Linked DNA regions of Arabidopsis thaliana. The main gene of each other region encodes a partner of the protein of the gene in region 2 in a complex. Each region holds a gene or a part of one and is shown on either strand. Other genes may lie near its edges. A codon is read from its position in the direction of its gene.

Region 1 (5,813 bases), 1.8 Mb from region 2:
TTGATTTAATATTCGTATTGTTGAGTTTTCCTTCTAAATACTACAAGTAGTGAATTTTACTTGATAACATTGATTAATGTAAGAAATTAGGTATCGATGCACATATGAAACAAGTCGTATGTCACACTTAAAACTATCGTTAATTTGAAAAAGATAAGACATGTCGGCGGTGCTAAACAACTATTTAAGCAAAGTATACACTGAACTTGGATAACTTAGATATAGTTTACATTGAAGTTGACAAATTTACACATTTATAAATAAGTTACTGGTTTGTATGTGTTTATAAATATGTCGTAGAGCAATCGAATAGTCAAATATGATTTGTTATCCTATACATTATTAAAAATATACTTTCGGGGGAATAGGGCGATTGGTGGGTAGCATATGATGTTACTAATCATTCAGATGAACCATTTGCATTATTTCTTTGTTTATTTAGTATCCAACGTTTTAAGAGAAGAAGCGCACATGTTTTTTTTTGCACCATATACTGACTACTGTTGTTGTAAACTTGTAATTATACATACATATATATATATATATATATATATATATATGTTTTCAACAATCAAACGTACAATTTTTTTCTATTTTCCATTTAATACAATTTATTTCCTAGAACTACAAGTTGTTTTTGATTAAAACATGAAAAGTATACTATATAAGTTATATTCTTACTAATCATAGTTACACACGACTTGAAATAAATACATACTAAAAAATTTGGAAGGTTATATGTTTAATTTGCACCAAAAAAGGCATCGAGTAATCTTATGTTATGTATACATCATATATCTGGTTTTTTTTTGTTGATAAAAGTATATGTACTATATCTTAGCTAAAGATGTAGGTGATGATGGGAAATGCTTAGGTGTATTTTGGTACCTTAATCATATGCTTGAATGTGCGTAGACGTATTATTTTGTTTAATTTAATGATATGATTATATTTTTATTTTGCCGTTTAATTTAATACATGTAGGTCCAATAGACAGGAGGCATTGTTTCTCAATTACATAAATTCAAAGGGTAGTTTAGTAAATAAATTATAGGCATATCAAAACTAAGAATTTTTTATATATATATGCAGCTGCTCTTTTGTTTAAGGCAAATTCCTATTCGAAATTGGTAGAAAATGGAAATTAAAACAAAAAATTAGGAAACTAACAACAATAATACTAATGAAAATCTATTAAGGTTTGAGTTTGCAAACTTTACATATGACGAGTTAATTAATTTTTTCATGCATGAGCTGGATCCACGAATCAAGGGTCTTTGGTCCCACTTTCTTCCCAATTATATAAATTTCCTTACCCTATATTTCTTTCATTGATGATTCAACCCCTATATTTCACTACTTCACAAAATAACCCAGAATTTGAGCTCAAAGCAACATCCAAAATGTTCTTCTAAATAGAAAAATAAAACAGAATATAGAACAATAGTACATATAATATACAAAACTAACTTGTAAGAAATTGAGAATAAAAAAGAGAGTGGATCTAAATGAAATTTAATAAAACCAATAGTCTAAATGTAGAGAGAATGATGAAAATAAAGGACATGTCAGCTTCTACATATATGTAAATAAAAAATATATATGACTGAGTATATAAAAACCACATTTTTTTTTTCTTCTGCATCTAAATGTTACAAAAATTGAATAGGAAAAATTAAGAGAGCTTTACTCTGTGAATAAATAAAAAAACAGAGAAAAAGAGCTCTAAGGTGAGACAAGCCTTGTCTTCTTCAACTCCCTAAGTCTCATCTCACCATCTCTCTCTTCTTCTTTTTTTTGGTTACCCAGAAGAGATTCACTTCTATCTCCAACAATTTCGTATTCTCTCATAATATTCAATTTTAAATCGAATAAAACTCGCGTCAATTTCCCCTCTTTCTTTCTGGGTATATATTCTTTTCTGCTTTTCTTTTTTTGTTTCTTGGGTTCGAGCTACATAGAGAGAGGTATGATGAATCCGAGTCACGGAAGAGGACTCGGATCGGCTGGTGGGTCCAGCTCCGGTAGAAATCAAGGAGGTGGTGGTGAGACCGTCGTCGAGATGTTTCCTTCTGGTCTTCGAGTTCTTGTCGTTGACGATGACCCAACTTGTCTCATGATCTTAGAGAGGATGCTTAGGACTTGTCTTTACGAAGGTTCGTATCCAAAAACCAAGATCTTCTCTTTTCATTTTTTTTTTTTTTTTTTTGTTCGTTTAATCTCACGAGAGAGAGAGAGAGAGAGAGAGAAAGAGAGTTCATGGTCTCTTGCTCCAATGATGGGTTTATTTGTGGTCCATTCTCGAAAATTATGTTATTTTGAGGAATAATTATGGTTTTCATATCGGTGGTTGACTAACTTTGCTCCCCCTTTAATAGAAACCATTTTGGTTACTTTTTAAGATTCACATATTAATCTCGAGCTTCTTCATTTAGATCACACCATTTTGATCTACTGATAGATTCACATGTAGATCCATTGTATATAATAAGTTAGGGGAGGTTTCAAATGGATTCAAATCTTGAGTCTTTGATCTTTGACTTGAGTTTTGGTTAAATGTCAATTCATGAGGTCCTTGTTGTCAGAATTCAAATCTCTGTTTTTTTCTTTTATCTTTGAAGATATGAAACATTTTGGTTGTTATGACATGCAGTAACGAAATGCAACAGAGCAGAGATGGCATTGTCTCTGCTCCGGAAGAACAAACATGGATTCGATATAGTAATCAGTGATGTTCATATGCCTGACATGGACGGTTTCAAGCTTCTTGAGCATGTTGGTCTAGAGATGGACTTACCTGTTATCAGTAACGTTCTTTTTACTCCCTCAAATCTCATCTAAGTTTGAATCTTTTTTTATAGATTATTGATCTTGTATTCGTTTAACTAGTGATGTCTGCGGATGATTCAAAGAGTGTGGTTCTAAAGGGAGTAACGCACGGTGCGGTTGATTACCTTATCAAGCCTGTACGTATGGAGGCACTTAAGAACATATGGCAGCATGTAGTTAGGAAGAGGAGAAGTGAATGGAGTGTACCGGAACATTCTGGGAGCATTGAGGAGACTGGCGAGAGACAGCAGCAGCAACATAGAGGAGGTGGTGGTGGTGCAGCTGTTTCTGGTGGAGAGGATGCGGTGGATGATAACTCATCCTCGGTTAACGAAGGTAACAATTGGAGGAGCAGTTCACGGAAGAGGAAAGACGAGGAAGGAGAAGAGCAAGGAGATGATAAGGACGAAGATGCGTCGAATTTGAAGAAACCGCGTGTCGTCTGGTCTGTTGAATTGCATCAGCAGTTTGTTGCTGCTGTTAATCAGCTCGGCGTTGAGAGTAAGACTAAAACTTCTTACATTTGCATTTGTGATTGTTATGCTCAGGGTCTAAATGATCTTCTATGGCGCAGAGGCGGTTCCTAAAAAGATCTTAGAGCTGATGAATGTTCCTGGTCTAACCCGAGAAAACGTAGCAAGTCACCTCCAGGTATAAATCTTATACTGGATACCAAAATGAGCCATTGAAATGCTTAGATGTTCTTAGCGGCTTTATGTGGACTTGCAGAAATACCGGATATATCTAAGACGGCTTGGAGGGGTATCGCAGCACCAAGGCAATCTTAACAACTCGTTTATGACGGGTCAGGATGCGAGCTTCGGACCTCTTTCGACATTGAATGGGTTTGATCTTCAAGCACTAGCCGTCACAGGTCAGTTACCTGCACAGAGTCTTGCACAGCTTCAAGCCGCTGGTTTAGGCCGGCCTGCGATGGTCTCTAAGTCAGGTTTGCCGGTTTCCTCCATTGTGGATGAGAGAAGCATCTTCAGCTTTGACAACACGAAAACAAGATTTGGAGAAGGGCTTGGGCATCACGGGCAACAACCCCAACAGCAACCACAGATGAACTTACTTCACGGTGTCCCCACGGGTTTACAACAGCAGCTTCCTATGGGTAATCGAATGAGTATTCAACAACAGATTGCTGCTGTTCGAGCTGGAAATAGTGTTCAAAACAACGGAATGCTGATGCCTCTAGCGGGTCAGCAGTCTTTGCCTCGGGGACCACCGCCTATGCTAACCTCTTCGCAATCATCCATCAGGCAGCCGATGTTATCAAACCGCATTTCCGAGAGAAGTGGTTTCTCTGGAAGGAACAATATCCCCGAGAGCAGCAGAGTGTTACCGACAAGTTACACTAATCTCACAACACAACACTCATCAAGCTCGATGCCTTATAACAACTTCCAACCAGAACTTCCCGTGAACAGTTTCCCGCTGGCAAGTGCACCAGGGATATCAGTACCGGTTCGGAAAGCCACTTCTTACCAGGAAGAGGTTAACAGCTCCGAAGCGGGTTTCACTACGCCGAGCTACGACATGTTCACCACCAGACAGAATGATTGGGATCTGAGGAATATTGGAATAGCCTTTGACTCACATCAGGACTCAGAATCCGCTGCGTTTTCCGCTTCAGAAGCCTACTCTTCTTCGTCCATGTCAAGACACAACACGACAGTTGCAGCCACCGAGCATGGCCGAAACCACCAGCAGCCACCATCGGGAATGGTACAGCACCATCAGGTTTATGCAGACGGAAACGGTGGTTCAGTGAGGGTGAAATCAGAGAGAGTGGCTACGGATACAGCAACAATGGCGTTTCACGAGCAGTATAGTAATCAAGAAGATCTTATGAGCGCACTTCTTAAGCAGGTTTGATTTGATTTTTTTTTTTTTGTCAAACTTATATAGAAGCATAATCTGATCCGTCAACGTACATGTTTGCGTTCAAAATCAAATATATAACAACTCTCAGACGCTTTCTCACCATTGGTCGCATGTCTTTTTCATAATAATGCAAATTACAACTAAATAACAAAAAAAATCAGTGAACCAAAAAAGTTGAAAAACACAATCTTGAATTATTGATATACAGGAAGGGATTGCACCGGTTGATGGCGAATTCGACTTTGACGCATACTCCATCGATAACATTCCGGTTTGATTGGATAAAAAAACCGATAAACCGGAGGGACTACCCGGATCTGTACTGTATCATTTTTACACGACGATCTACTAAAACTTGTTTGATATATATGTAGTCTGCATGAAATTTTAAATGGCAGATTATATAAGAAATAATTATTCATGTTAGGGGTTAATATCCTTGGAGATTCTTTTGTTCCTCATTTATGTAGTGAGGCTGTTTAGGGTTTTGTAAGTATGTATTTCGAGTAAATGCTTAGAATAATTCGAACAAACTTAATTTAGTACAACGCCACAACGTGAAATCAAAGCAATTCAAGATCAAAACACAAAGGGATTTGTCTGTTCAATATTTGTATGTATACATACTGATTACTAAAATCTGATCATACGAAATTCAAGAATCACACGGTGCACAAAGCACCACTAGTAGTAGAAGTAATTCTGCATCAAATCTGGTTAGAAAGAATCAAGAAAACTGTATATTTTCTGGCTAATGAGGAAAGTCCTTCACTGGAACTTTTAAATCCGAAGAAACAGTAGAGCCAAAAATGGTGTCAGGATGAGAAGAAAGGTGGATACATGTTTCCTGTGACTGTTGCTCGTGGGTAGTACAGAAGGGAGTGAACATTCCTGGCCGTTGAAGAGTACTTTGGTGGGAAACCCATCTTTGGAACCAACTTTGATTCCAGGAGTCAGTTTCTTGGTGAAGGAGATAACCGACTGCTGTTTCCCGGGTATCCGAAAGTCTTCACTCGGGTTTTTTCCGTCTTTCTCTGCAAGGAGATAGTTCAGTCCAGGGAGCCCTTCCATTAAAACAGTTGTGTTCTTCCCGT
Region 2 (4,389 bases):
TTACATGCATTTGTATTTTACATGATCTAAAAGTGTGTTTATCGTATGTGAAACCATTACGTCAACATGGATTGTTTTTACGGTATTGTGTTACAAATGTAAATACACCATTTTAATATCTAAACTCACTTTTTTCTTCTTTTTGTTTGCGGTTGAACCAACCAAGCCCATACACGAGATAAAATTGACAACTAATTTATTTTACTTGTGTAAATTGAACTTAACCTGAAATTGGCAGTGAACCAACAAATCGACTAACTCGTTCTGCATGTTTACCTTTTATTTGTTTTTAGTAAATAATATCGTATTTGGCTGCGTCTACAGCGACTTGTATTCTAGCTTTAAACCTTTTTAAAAACTTGATATGGCTATTGGCTATAAGGATTTTCTTATAATAAATTGCTTGGAGATATGGGTGAGTGCAAACTCTTTCTTGACTTTTTACGTATAAATTTGTTAAAAACTAAGGAAGCACAGTTTAACTTTTATACGGAGATAATATAATGTAAGATATCAAAATTCATAATAAGATTTGAAAGGTCCATAATTAGTGATGGAACCTTCTTACGATGGACCCATTATCAAGTAAGAACCACTAATAATCTTTGGTTAGTTAGTATATATAATACGTTTTATGCCATTCGTTAAACGCATCCTACGTTCTTGCATGTCCCATGTCCATTCATCATGTGAGACGTGTCAAAGCGTTGATGTTTACCCAAATTTGCAGAAATTAATACAGTGAAACTAATTTACTATTTTTATTTTGGCTTGACGTGTTGAAATTGTTATTGAAAATACGAATTGTCTAAGGAAAAAATTGTCATTTTACTGTGCATGAGGAAATAGATAAGAATGGTGTGTATGAGTATGATTGGGAAAGTATTTGGAGTGACGAAAATACCAGGGATATGCAAATGAAGAAATAGTGTGGTTGAAAAAGATGAGACTGGTGTGCTGATCGTTGTAGTTGAAAATGTTACGTAAAAATATATTGTATGTAGTACTCTATGAAAGATTGAAAGGATATGAGCTATTGCATATATATTGTTAGGTTGTTTTGAAATATTGTTAGTTGAAAGAAATTTATAGAGCAAGTGACAAACGAGTAAATAGAAAAGCTTTGAGAAATCACGAAAAAACATTTGAATTGTGATAAGTGGTTGATTATAATGAAAAATATTGGTATAACACAAAATATGATAAATCCTAGTTTAATAAGAATTCCACCAAATGATTGGACGAGATATATGACTAAAGAAATTATAAGCTGCATTTAGTTTTGGTTTTGAACAACATTACAAAGTGTTAGGCGGCATTTGAGTTCTCAAAGTCACAATTTCCTTGATAAACCCATTACGTTACGATATTTGTGATACATCAATATAAAATAAACTAACCAATCAATGTATTATTATAATAAAAGAATTGCTAGTTGGACAAAAACAATGAGGATCAAATCAAAATTATATTACAAATAAAGTTTCCCTAGAGATGCTATTTGAAAGATACATTGAATGCGAGCTGTGCATATTAGTATATGCTTTTCATCAGTAGTACAGTAATTTAAATATTCGAACCAATAAAATGTTTTAAAATCTTAAGAAAAAAAAAGACAAATCAAGAAGTATCAAATGCTCTTCTTATGTCTTTATCACATTTGCAAAAAAAACGAGGAAAAAAAGGCGCGAATGGTTAGACAGTTGACAGCACGACCAACTTCCATTCTTTAAGAGTTTCTTTCTTTTTGGATTCTTTTCTCACATCCAAACCAAAATTGTAATAATAAAATACAAACTATTTAAATTTAAAAAATAGGGTTTTTTGATACGGAGGATTTTGTTCTCATCTTTTAAGTACTGAGGATTTTGTTGGACATTTTCTTACCTCCATTATTGGCAGAGAGAAACAAAGAAATAAAGAACAAAAGCAAATAACAGAGAATATGGATTTGGTTCAGAAGCAGAAGAGTTTGCAAGATTACACCAAATCACTCTTCTTAGAAGTAAGTTTTTCACATTTGAAAAGATCAAATAATCAGAAAACTTGTTTTAACGTTCACAACTTTTTCTTTCTGGTTTTAGGACTTGTAGTAAAAATGGTTTTAGGACTTATAGTAAAAATGTGTTAGGCTTTTGTAGTTTCTTTGGTAAGATAATCATGAGTTTAGGTTATGTAAAATTAGTTTCTGATTATGGAAAGTCTTTTGTTTTGGGTAAATACAAAAAAGGGGATTTTGGACAGCCAGTTCTTGCAGCTGCAACAACTACAAGATGAAAGCAATCCAGATTTTGTTTCACAAGTTGTCACACTCTTCTTCCAAGACTCTGATAGGATTCTCAATGATCTCTCACTTTCCCTGTAATCTTCTTTACACATTCTCTCTTTAATCTTTTTTTTTTTGTTCTTTTCCAAAACTTGTGTTTCTCACTGTTTTTTTATGCTTCGGGCAGAGATCAACAAGTTGTAGACTTTAAAAAAGTTGATCCCCATGTTCATCAACTCAAAGGTAGCAGCTCCAGGTAACAACAAAAACAAAACTGGCTATTTCTGATTTTAATCCAATGATAATGACATTTTCTTGATCTTGAAATGTGTAACAATATATATTGCCAAAAAATAACAGTATAGGAGCACAGAGAGTTAAGAATGCTTGTGTTGTCTTCCGCAGCTTCTGCGAGCAGCAAAATGTCGAAGCGTGAGTTTAATCGATATGTTCGTTGGTCCATTCGTTATTTCTTTGTTTTAAGATCTGATTAGGAAAATACATCGTTGAAAAATTTCAGATGTCATAGATGTTTGCAACAAGTGAAGCAAGAGTATTATCTTGTGAAAAACAGATTAGAGACTCTGTTCAAGGTAAAAAGTCAAAGAGACTTTTTTTTTTTTTATAAAACCACCCACATAACTCTTATCTAGTTATACAATATTTTGATCAACATTTGAAACTTATCTGATTCAATTTTGGTTTTGATGATCGAATCTATGCAGCTGGAGCAACAGATTGTAGCTTCTGGTGGAATGATCCCGGCCGTCGAACTCGGATTTTGAGTGAATTTCATAAACATCTCTGTCCATTGTTGTTTCATTTTGGACTCTCTCTTCTTCCTCTCTTTATGTGACTATCAAAAAAAGGTTCTTATGTGAACTTCTTTCTTTGTGCCATTGGAAGAGTGAGACATGCTAAAACGTTTCTTAATCCACATCTAAATCCCACATATGTAAAATAAGATCTCAAGCAAACATATAGTCATGAGTCATGACTACAATTATATAGAGTTTGATCAAGATAATGTACGCATCAAGGTAATGTGATCCGGACAACTTGGTTAGGTATTAGGTTGTTGTTTTACTGTAACTGTTAGAAGTAGTTAGAAGTCTTGTAGTCCTTGACCAAAGAACACAGATGGGCCATATGAATTTTAGTAGCCCAAGATGATAACAAAGGGCCCGTACTAAACATCCATGATGATCTTGGAAATCTTTTTTTTATTACGATTGCACTTCGACGAATCTCTAAAGATTTTCAGACATTTATACAATGCAATTAAGAAAAAAATAAAGTTATACTATGTGAGTGCACGTTAAATAATGTAGCTAAAAATAAAATAATGACAAAATTCTTAATTACTTACAGATCCGTGACCTGTCGTCGACTATATATGGCTCCAATTTATAACCTCATGTTCGATTTCTAGACTTCTAGTTTACCACTTATAACTTTGTATTGCTCTATACTCGTATTAATTAGTGCTCCATCTTTTTTATTTGAACTTTTTTGGGTAAAGAATGAGCGTTCCCTTCATCGTTTGTTCATAACTTTACTAGTTCCTTTAATTGTACCTTCTGTTTAATTTTGTTTTCAAGTGACCTTTTTGTCTTTTCAATAATAATTAAGATTTCCAGTTCGTAATTTCGTATGTATAATGAACCATACCATTAATTATGCAATATGACAAAAATATGATGTTTATATGTTCTTCCACCTTGTTATTATCGATTACAAATTTAAATAAGGATCATAGGGTAAATAACACTTTTTTTTTTTTGGTTATAATCAATATCTTATTCCTATTTTATTGTTTCAAACATGCATAGTATCCAAAGGGAAGCATGTTTTGGTGAAAATATATGCATAGAAGAAGAAGACTAATCAGTAATCAAGACAAGAGATAGGTTGAATAATTCCATTAAGTTTTCTCCTATCTGTAGTCTAAATCACTAGTTACAACTTTCAACACACATGAAACACATTATACATGCATCATTATTCATTAATGTGTTAGGTTACGCTACGTATATTTTGTGTAGATTTGAAAGTACAGATATGTAATGTAATTATCATACAAACATCTCTTAATTAAAGTCTCCCACAAAGCCACAATATGG
Region 3 (6,913 bases), on a different chromosome or scaffold from region 2:
AATCTCCTTCACCACCGTCCATAATTTTTGGCGCGAGAGCAACAAAAAAAAAAAAACACGACAAACAGAAGAAACTTGTTTGAAAATGATTAGACCACGTGTTAGTCAACGGTAATTCCACGTGTAACATTGAGGCTGACGTGGAACATGTGACTAACCACATCACATGTTTCCTATTAGCCACTTACGGACGGGACAAAAGCCTCCGAGCGCCGTTCAGATCGGGACTTAAGACACCAAAAATGGCTTAGCTGTTTTCTTAAATTATTTTAATTTAAAGACCCTTTAATTTATTATTATTAGTTTTGATTATTGTGTGTACTATTACCACTAGTTGCTAATTTTTTAGTATTTAATTTATTGATATAGAAATGGGATTGATTTCAGACAACTAATTTTGTGCCAATACAGTTGTTGTCCGCTCCATTGAATTGTGAGGATTGGGTCTTATTCATTTTTTCTATTAGCTTTTCTCGTGTTTTTTTATGCGCAAGGTGTTCAAATTATTGATCATACTAGTTTGCAACTGAAATTGAAGCGTAGAATATAGTTTAAGATTTGGGTGATTAATACAAATATTATACTACTAGTTACGATACATTTATTTGTGGTACTACATGTGCTTTCTGCTATTCATGAAACAATGAATGTCCCGACCCAATTCGAATATTTGTGTACTTTCGTCAACATTGACATTCTATAGACTATATATTAGAACCACATGATTATACATTTTAAAAAAAAATCTTCTTTTTTCGTAATGAGTAGTAGTACAAAAGGCAAAAGAAATAAATCATGCATTCGTTACTTATTGACAACTAGAAATAACTATAATTATGTTTAGTTATTTTCATTATCGGATCATCAAATCATCTAATATATTTTTCCAAAAGCTTAACATTCTACAAAACTTTACAACACAAAAATTTATATATATGATTCAACTTAAAAATTCATGAGCTAAACAGAGTTGCTCTGTTTCGGAAAATCATTCTAATTACGTAGAATAAAACTCACTTATATAAATCTACTAATCAAAGAGTTGTCCAGTTTACTGATTAAGTAGCCAAATCATGAATTAATAGTGATCGTCGTCGAGCAAATTAAAATCCAAATCTATAACAATTATTGACGCCACTTCTAGTTACTCCTCAATAAAGGAAGTTGCTAATACTTAATTAAAAAATAGTGTGACTATCCTCAATATACTCGGAGCGTGACGTAAACGCGCCGCCTTATAGCTTCCGTCGTCAACTCTGTGAGGTATAAAAGACGTAAGGAAAAGCAGAGAAACTGGAGGAAAAAAAAGAACAGAGAGAAAGAGAGAAGAGTGAATTGTGAGACAGATCGAAACGTGTCAATCTGTGTGTCATTCGATAGTAACTCGGATTCGGTCTCAGAAAGAAAACAAACGTGCACACACAGAGCAGAGAGACAGAGTCGCCATTAAAATATGTCCAACTTAAAAATGTGAGAAAGAGAGAGAAGAGAAGAGAAGAGAAGAGATGAATATAATATACATTGACCTCTCTGTCTCATGAGCAAGCACATGTCCTCTCTCTCTCTCTCTTTCTCTTCTCCGTAAAAAAAATTACCAATCTTTCACAATTCATTCACATGCTCCTCTCTCTTTCTTCATTGGCTATTCTCTTCCCAATGCTCATTTGAAGTTTATTTACTCTACTCCCGACGACCACGACTCTTCTTCAGATCTACTCACTCCTTCTTTCTCTCCTTCTTCTTCTTCATTTTTCCGGTGACCGGAGTCGGAGAAGGTAAAGCTTCTGATCCCTTCCCCTTTCCTCCGGCATACTCGTTCCTCTGCTTTGTCTTTCGTTTTTTTCATTTCTTTCTGTTTCAGCCTTTTGCATCTCGAGACTTCATGATTACAATTTCTTTATGTTTCTCAATGCAAGATTTTCGTTTATAATATATGATCACTGATGTCAAGAATAAATCACCAAAGATTTTTTTCTTTCCATATATTTTTTCCGATCATCGCTCAAAAAAAAGTTTCATCGTTTAAATTTATTTTCAGATTTTATCGTTTATTGGTGAATTTTATGATCCTAGTTGATAATTCAATCTGAAAAAAGAAACTGATACAGTTTTCTTTTTGAAGCTCTGCAAATTTCTGATTTTTAAGCTCGAATCATATAATTTGAAGTTTCCCGCTAATGTTCAATCAGAATTGGTCCACACACTTAGTTGTTGTGGACCCTTTGCAAAATTCTATTTTAGTTCATTATTTTTCACATTTTACAGATCAAGATTCTCTGATGGAGATGGTTTGTCCTGACTCTAACCTCTGTGTTTGAAAATATCTATACAGGTTCTTTATTCAGATCAAGGTTCTGGCTTAAAGAAAAAAGTTGTTTGAATTTTGAGATTTGTCTGGTCCATTGTGTTGCTGTTGTTGTATGAAGAGAAACCTTGATCAATGGTCTGTGAAATGGAGACTGATCAGATTGAGGAAATGGATGTCGAAGTTTTGTCTTCGATGTGGCCCGAAGATGTTGGAACTGAAGCTGACAAACAGTTCAACGTCGAGAAACCTGCCGGAGATTTAGACACGTTGAAAGAAGTTACTATCGAGACACGGACCATTGCGGATATGACACGGTTACCAAACCTATTGAATTCGACTCATCAAGGCTCCTCTCAACTAACCAACCTTGTGAAACAATGGGAGTATATGCAAGACAACGCGGTTCGGCTGTTAAAAGAAGAGCTAAAAAATCTCGATAGACAGAGAGAAGAAGCCGAGGCTAAAGAGTTGAAGATCATTGAGGAGTATAAGTTTGAGAGCAACGAGCCTGAGAATGTTCCGGTTTTGGATGAGACGAGTGATTTGTTCCGCAGGTTTAGGCAGAAAAAACGAGATGCCTTGGTCGATAGCAAGAAGATTGAGATCTATGAGGAGTTTGACACTGTTGCATATTGGAAACAGAAGGCGTTGAGTCTTGAGAAAATGCTTGAGGCGAGTACTGAGAGAGAAAGGCGATTGATGGAGAAGCTGAGTGAGAGTTTGAAAACTATGGAGAGTCAGTCAGCACCGGTCCAAGAGCTTACTCAGAATCTTAAGAGAGCTGAAGGTTTCTTGCATTTCATACTTCAGAATGCACCTATTGTTATGGGCCATCAGGTAAAGTAAAAGGTGATTCTTGATCTTGTTTTCGATCTTTTCGACTTTTCTGATTCTTTGTTACTTATGAGTTTCAGGATAAAGATTTACGCTACTTGTTCATCTACAACAAGTATCCTAGTTTACGGGAACAGGTTAGAAGAAAACTTTTTCTTCTGTTGGATTTATTGAATCATTCTCTGAGGAAATGTGTTTAAATCAAAATCTGTTTCTTACTATATTTCAGGACATTTTGGGAAAAACAGACGTGGAGATATTCCATGGAGGTGGAGTTAAAGAATCTGAAGATTTCAAGAGAGAAGTTCTTGAGAAAGGAAAAGCTTCAAAGAGAGAGATCACATTTACTACAGATTTATTTGGATCAAAGACGTTTTTGATATATGTTGAGCCTGTTTACAACAAAGCTGGCGAGAAAATCGGTATAAACTACATGGGAATGGAAGTAACTGATCAGGTTAGTTAGCTAAAGATTTTTGAACTATTCTATAATCTATGTTCTCATTTTCACATCTTCACTGGATCTTCCTGTGTTACAGGTAGTGAAAAGGGAGAAAATGGCGAAACTTAGAGAAGATAACGCTGTGAGAAAGGCGATGGAATCAGAACTGAACAAGACTATTCACATTACAGGTTTGTTCAAGTTAAGCAGTGAAAGTTTTAGAAAGATTAATGAGAAAACTAGACTTAGGTGTTGTGTTTTTTCTTTTGCAGAGGAGACAATGAGAGCAAAGCAGATGCTAGCGACGATGTCTCATGAGATAAGGTCACCATTGTCAGGAGTAGTGGGAATGGCTGAGATACTTTCAACTACAAAACTGGATAAAGAGCAAAGACAGTTGTTGAATGTCATGATCTCTTCTGGTGATTTGGTGCTTCAGCTAATCAACGACATTCTTGATCTCTCCAAGGTTGAATCAGGTACAATATACTGTTTTCAAAGTTTTTGATCTTGTGGTGTGGTCATTGTTCAAATCCTCGATTACATATGTTATTTTTTGGTATTTGTGTGTTCTTTTTAGGTGTGATGAGATTAGAAGCTACAAAGTTTCGACCAAGAGAAGTAGTGAAGCATGTGCTACAGACAGCTGCAGCATCGCTGAAGAAATCTTTGACATTAGAAGGAAACATTGCAGATGATGTTCCTATTGAGGTTACTACACATTTCAGAAAGAGTTAAATGTGGCAAAAGTCTTTGTGATCTTAACTTTTTTTCCTTTAAATGTTTAGGTAGTTGGAGATGTTCTAAGGATTAGGCAGATCCTCACCAATTTGATAAGGTTCTTTACCTGATTCCTGTATTATTTGCATAATGACAAGTTTCGGTTCCTGATTTGTTCAAACGTTTTGCAGCAATGCTATCAAGTTTACACATGAAGGAAATGTAGGAATCAAACTCCAAGTGATATCAGAACCATCCTTTGTGCGGGATAACGCATTGAACGCAGACACCGAGGAACACGAACAAAACGGTTTGACCGAGACTTCAGTTTGGATTTGCTGTGACGTATGGGACACTGGAATTGGAATCCCAGGCAAGCAAGCAATTCTGACAAATGAACATGAAAAGACTAAAAAACTCCAACTAACCTATATATTAACCTGGTTCATGTTTTGGTGTTCTTGTGCAGAAAACGCTCTTCCATGTTTGTTCAAGAAGTACATGCAAGCAAGCGCTGATCATGCCCGAAAATACGGTGGGACTGGTCTCGGACTTGCTATTTGTAAACAGCTGGTAAGCTATTATTAGGATTTTACAACACTACAGAAGAAACTAATGAAGCTCGTTATCCTAATCTTTCTCTGTTTGTTTACAGGTTGAGTTAATGGGAGGCCAACTCACTGTGACAAGCCGGGTGAGCGAAGGTTCAACGTTCACATTTATATTACCCTACAAAGTTGGAAGATCAGATGATTATTCAGATGATCAAGATGAGTTCTCTGATATGGCGGATCAACAATCTGAACCAGACGATACAGCTGAAGGATATTTCCAGTTTAAACCGCTCTTAGGATCGATATATTCGAATGGCGGACCGGGGATCAGCAATGACTTCTTACCTCATAAAGTCATGCTTACTAGTCCTATTAAGCTCATCAATGGTTTTGTCGCTGATCCCTCTAATAACACTGGACAGAGCGAGATGCTACAGCTTGAAAACGGTGGTTACATGGATGAATCTAAACTCGAAACCAGTTCTGGTCATTGCCCTGAATCAGCTCACCAATATGAGAATGGAAATGGTCGATGTTTCTCTAAGGAATCTGAATCTTGTAGCAGTTCACAAGCTAGCTCAGAAGGTGGAACCTTAGAAATGGAGTCAGAGCTCACAGTTTCATCTCATAGGGAAGAGGAAAAAGCCGAGACAGAAGTAAAAGAAACATCAAAGCCAAAGATTTTGCTTGTGGAAGATAATAAGATCAACATCATGGTTGCAAAGTCGATGATGAAGCAGTTAGGCCATACCATGGATATTGCTAATAATGGAGTTGAAGCCATAACCGCGATTAATAGCTCTAGCTACGATCTGGTACTCATGGTATGTAAATTTTCTTAGCTCTAAGGACTTGTCCTTTTCAAATTCACTTATATTTGAAAAAGGCTTATAATTCATATTGGGTTCACAGGATGTGTGCATGCCGGTGCTCGATGGTTTAAAAGCTACAAGACTGATCCGTTCGTATGAAGAAACTGGGAACTGGAATGCTGCAATAGAAGCCGGAGTAGATATATCGACATCGGAGAATGAACAAGTTTGTATGCGTCCCACAAACCGGCTGCCTATAATCGCGGTCAGTACTTCTTTTTTGAATACTAAACACAGAGATCTAATGCATAACTTGAGAAAACTGATAGTCAGAATGCGTTGTGGAATGTGCAGATGACGGCAAATACTTTAGCAGAGAGTTCAGAAGAATGTTATGCAAATGGTATGGACTCGTTTATTTCGAAACCTGTAACGTTGCAAAAACTGAGAGAGTGTTTGCAACAGTATTTGCACTGAGATTTCAGATTTTTGTGTTTTGTAGATTAAGAAATGGTTGTGTTGTATATAAATTGTGTAGGAAAAAAGTTTTGGAGAGCTACTAAGTAGCTTCCTCTTTTTAGAGATGTATAGTTCAATAAATAAATAAAAGCTTCTCTTCTTTATTTATTTGTGGGAAATTTCTGGCGAGAGAAACAAGTAAACATTTTTGTTCCCACCATTCGAATCCAGCAGAGTACTAAAAGCAGCCAAGCTCTACAAAACGACATTGAGCATACTTAAGCTTTTCAAAACGGACTTATCTCGATTTCTGTTGGCTGTAACGTTGTATTCCATGGACATCCACAATCCCGGGAGGGAACACTGGATCTGTGGCTGCTCTAACTGCGACTTTTGCAACCGATTCAACATTCACCGGAGGTGTGAACAAAGGTCCGACTAATGGAAGCTGGTTCAGAGGTTTTGCTTGTTGAAGAACCTACATAAAGCCACAAACATTATGAGTAACGAGGTAATCTTGAGGGATATTGCTATAAAGAGAGGATCTCTTACCATCTCCATGGGTGAACCAAATACTCCTAACGGGATCTTCATGCTCCCAACACTGCGAGTTCCATATATAAAACCAGGTCGCAAGATTATACCTGCACAACATTCACCAAAACTTCAAATGTAAAAAACAAACGAGTTTCAGAGAGAGTTTTGTAGATGTACCACGAAACTTATACCTCCATATGCAAATCTTGTGAGCAGCTCGGTCTCAGCAGCTCGCTGTAAGGATGAA

What was found.
Region 1: the proteins of AHP1 (region 2) and RR1 are in contact, whole or in part, in a crystal structure (PDB 9H6E), measured with the Arabidopsis thaliana proteins. Residues at the interface, in NP_188788.1 of Arabidopsis thaliana: Gln26 (codon at 2,246), Gln29 (codon at 2,255), Leu30 (codon at 2,258), Leu33 (codon at 2,267), Asp35 (codon at 2,273), Ser37 (codon at 2,279), Asn38 (codon at 2,282), Phe41 (codon at 2,291), Gln44 (codon at 2,300), Val45 (codon at 2,303), Leu48 (codon at 2,312), Phe49 (codon at 2,315), Asp52 (codon at 2,324), Pro76 (codon at 2,488), His79 (codon at 2,497), Gln80 (codon at 2,500), Lys82 (codon at 2,506), Gly83 (codon at 2,509), Ser84 (codon at 2,512), Ser86 (codon at 2,518), Ser87 (codon at 2,521), Ile88 (codon at 2,628), Arg101 (codon at 2,667); in NP_566561.2 of Arabidopsis thaliana: Asp44 (codon at 2,099), Asp45 (codon at 2,102), Pro46 (codon at 2,105), Thr47 (codon at 2,108), Cys48 (codon at 2,111), Met50 (codon at 2,117), Ile51 (codon at 2,120), Arg54 (codon at 2,129), Met55 (codon at 2,132), Thr58 (codon at 2,141), His91 (codon at 2,737), Ser116 (codon at 2,895), Ala117 (codon at 2,898), Asp118 (codon at 2,901), Lys138 (codon at 2,961), Pro139 (codon at 2,964), Met142 (codon at 2,973).
Region 3: the proteins of AHP1 (region 2) and HK5 are in contact, whole or in part, in a crystal structure (PDB 4EUK), measured with the Arabidopsis thaliana proteins. Residues at the interface, in NP_188788.1 of Arabidopsis thaliana: Gln26 (codon at 2,246), Gln29 (codon at 2,255), Leu30 (codon at 2,258), Gln32 (codon at 2,264), Leu33 (codon at 2,267), Asp35 (codon at 2,273), Asn38 (codon at 2,282), Phe41 (codon at 2,291), Gln44 (codon at 2,300), Val45 (codon at 2,303), Leu48 (codon at 2,312), Phe49 (codon at 2,315), Asp52 (codon at 2,324), His79 (codon at 2,497), Gln80 (codon at 2,500), Lys82 (codon at 2,506), Gly83 (codon at 2,509), Ser84 (codon at 2,512), Ser86 (codon at 2,518), Ser87 (codon at 2,521), Ile88 (codon at 2,628), Arg101 (codon at 2,667); in NP_196633.2 of Arabidopsis thaliana: Asp785 (codon at 5,554), Asn786 (codon at 5,557), Lys787 (codon at 5,560), Ile788 (codon at 5,563), Asn789 (codon at 5,566), Met791 (codon at 5,572), Val792 (codon at 5,575), Ser795 (codon at 5,584), Met796 (codon at 5,587), Gln799 (codon at 5,596), Cys830 (codon at 5,777), Ala885 (codon at 6,031), Asn886 (codon at 6,034), Thr887 (codon at 6,037), Glu890 (codon at 6,046), Pro907 (codon at 6,097), Val908 (codon at 6,100), Thr909 (codon at 6,103), Leu910 (codon at 6,106).

Annotation. Positions count from the first base shown.
Region 1 is NC_003074.8:5,754,144-5,759,956, forward strand, and holds RR1 (response regulator 1), read left to right. Parts: upstream 1-1,677; 5' UTR 1,678-1,969; coding exon 1,970-2,156; intron 2,157-2,212; exon of another isoform or gene 2,213-2,571; intron 2,572-2,653; coding exon 2,654-2,806; intron 2,807-2,889; coding exon 2,890-3,330; intron 3,331-3,403; coding exon 3,404-3,480; intron 3,481-3,558; coding exon 3,559-4,704; coding exon of another isoform or gene 4,705-4,710; exon of another isoform or gene 4,711-4,927; coding exon 4,928-4,996; 3' UTR 4,997-5,300; downstream 5,301-5,813. Other genes in the region: COBL8 (COBRA-like protein 8 precursor), read right to left, coding at 5,500-5,813.
Region 2 is NC_003074.8:7,577,094-7,581,482, reverse strand, and holds AHP1 (histidine-containing phosphotransmitter 1), read left to right. Parts: upstream 1-1,693; 5' UTR 1,694-1,945; coding exon 1,946-2,005; intron 2,006-2,230; coding exon 2,231-2,361; intron 2,362-2,453; coding exon 2,454-2,522; intron 2,523-2,626; coding exon 2,627-2,698; intron 2,699-2,786; coding exon 2,787-2,859; intron 2,860-2,991; coding exon 2,992-3,051; 3' UTR 3,052-3,771; downstream 3,772-4,389. UniProt on the Arabidopsis thaliana protein: Functions as a two-component phosphorelay mediators between cytokinin sensor histidine kinases and response regulator (B-type ARRs). Plays an important role in propagating cytokinin signal transduction through the multistep His-to-Asp phosphorelay.
Region 3 is NC_003076.8:3,384,395-3,391,307, forward strand, and holds HK5 (histidine kinase 5), read left to right. Parts: upstream 1-1,506; 5' UTR 1,507-1,775; intron 1,776-2,332; 5' UTR 2,333-2,440; coding exon 2,441-3,145; intron 3,146-3,222; coding exon 3,223-3,279; intron 3,280-3,371; coding exon 3,372-3,599; intron 3,600-3,681; coding exon 3,682-3,775; intron 3,776-3,856; coding exon 3,857-4,063; intron 4,064-4,164; coding exon 4,165-4,295; intron 4,296-4,372; coding exon 4,373-4,422; intron 4,423-4,495; coding exon 4,496-4,677; intron 4,678-4,773; coding exon 4,774-4,877; intron 4,878-4,959; coding exon 4,960-5,682; intron 5,683-5,770; coding exon 5,771-5,935; intron 5,936-6,024; coding exon 6,025-6,147; 3' UTR 6,148-6,292; downstream 6,293-6,913. Other genes in the region: AT5G10730 (NAD(P)-binding Rossmann-fold superfamily protein), read right to left, coding at 6,428-6,607, 6,682-6,773, 6,858-6,900. UniProt on the Arabidopsis thaliana protein: Functions as a histidine kinase and transmits the stress signal to a downstream MAPK cascade.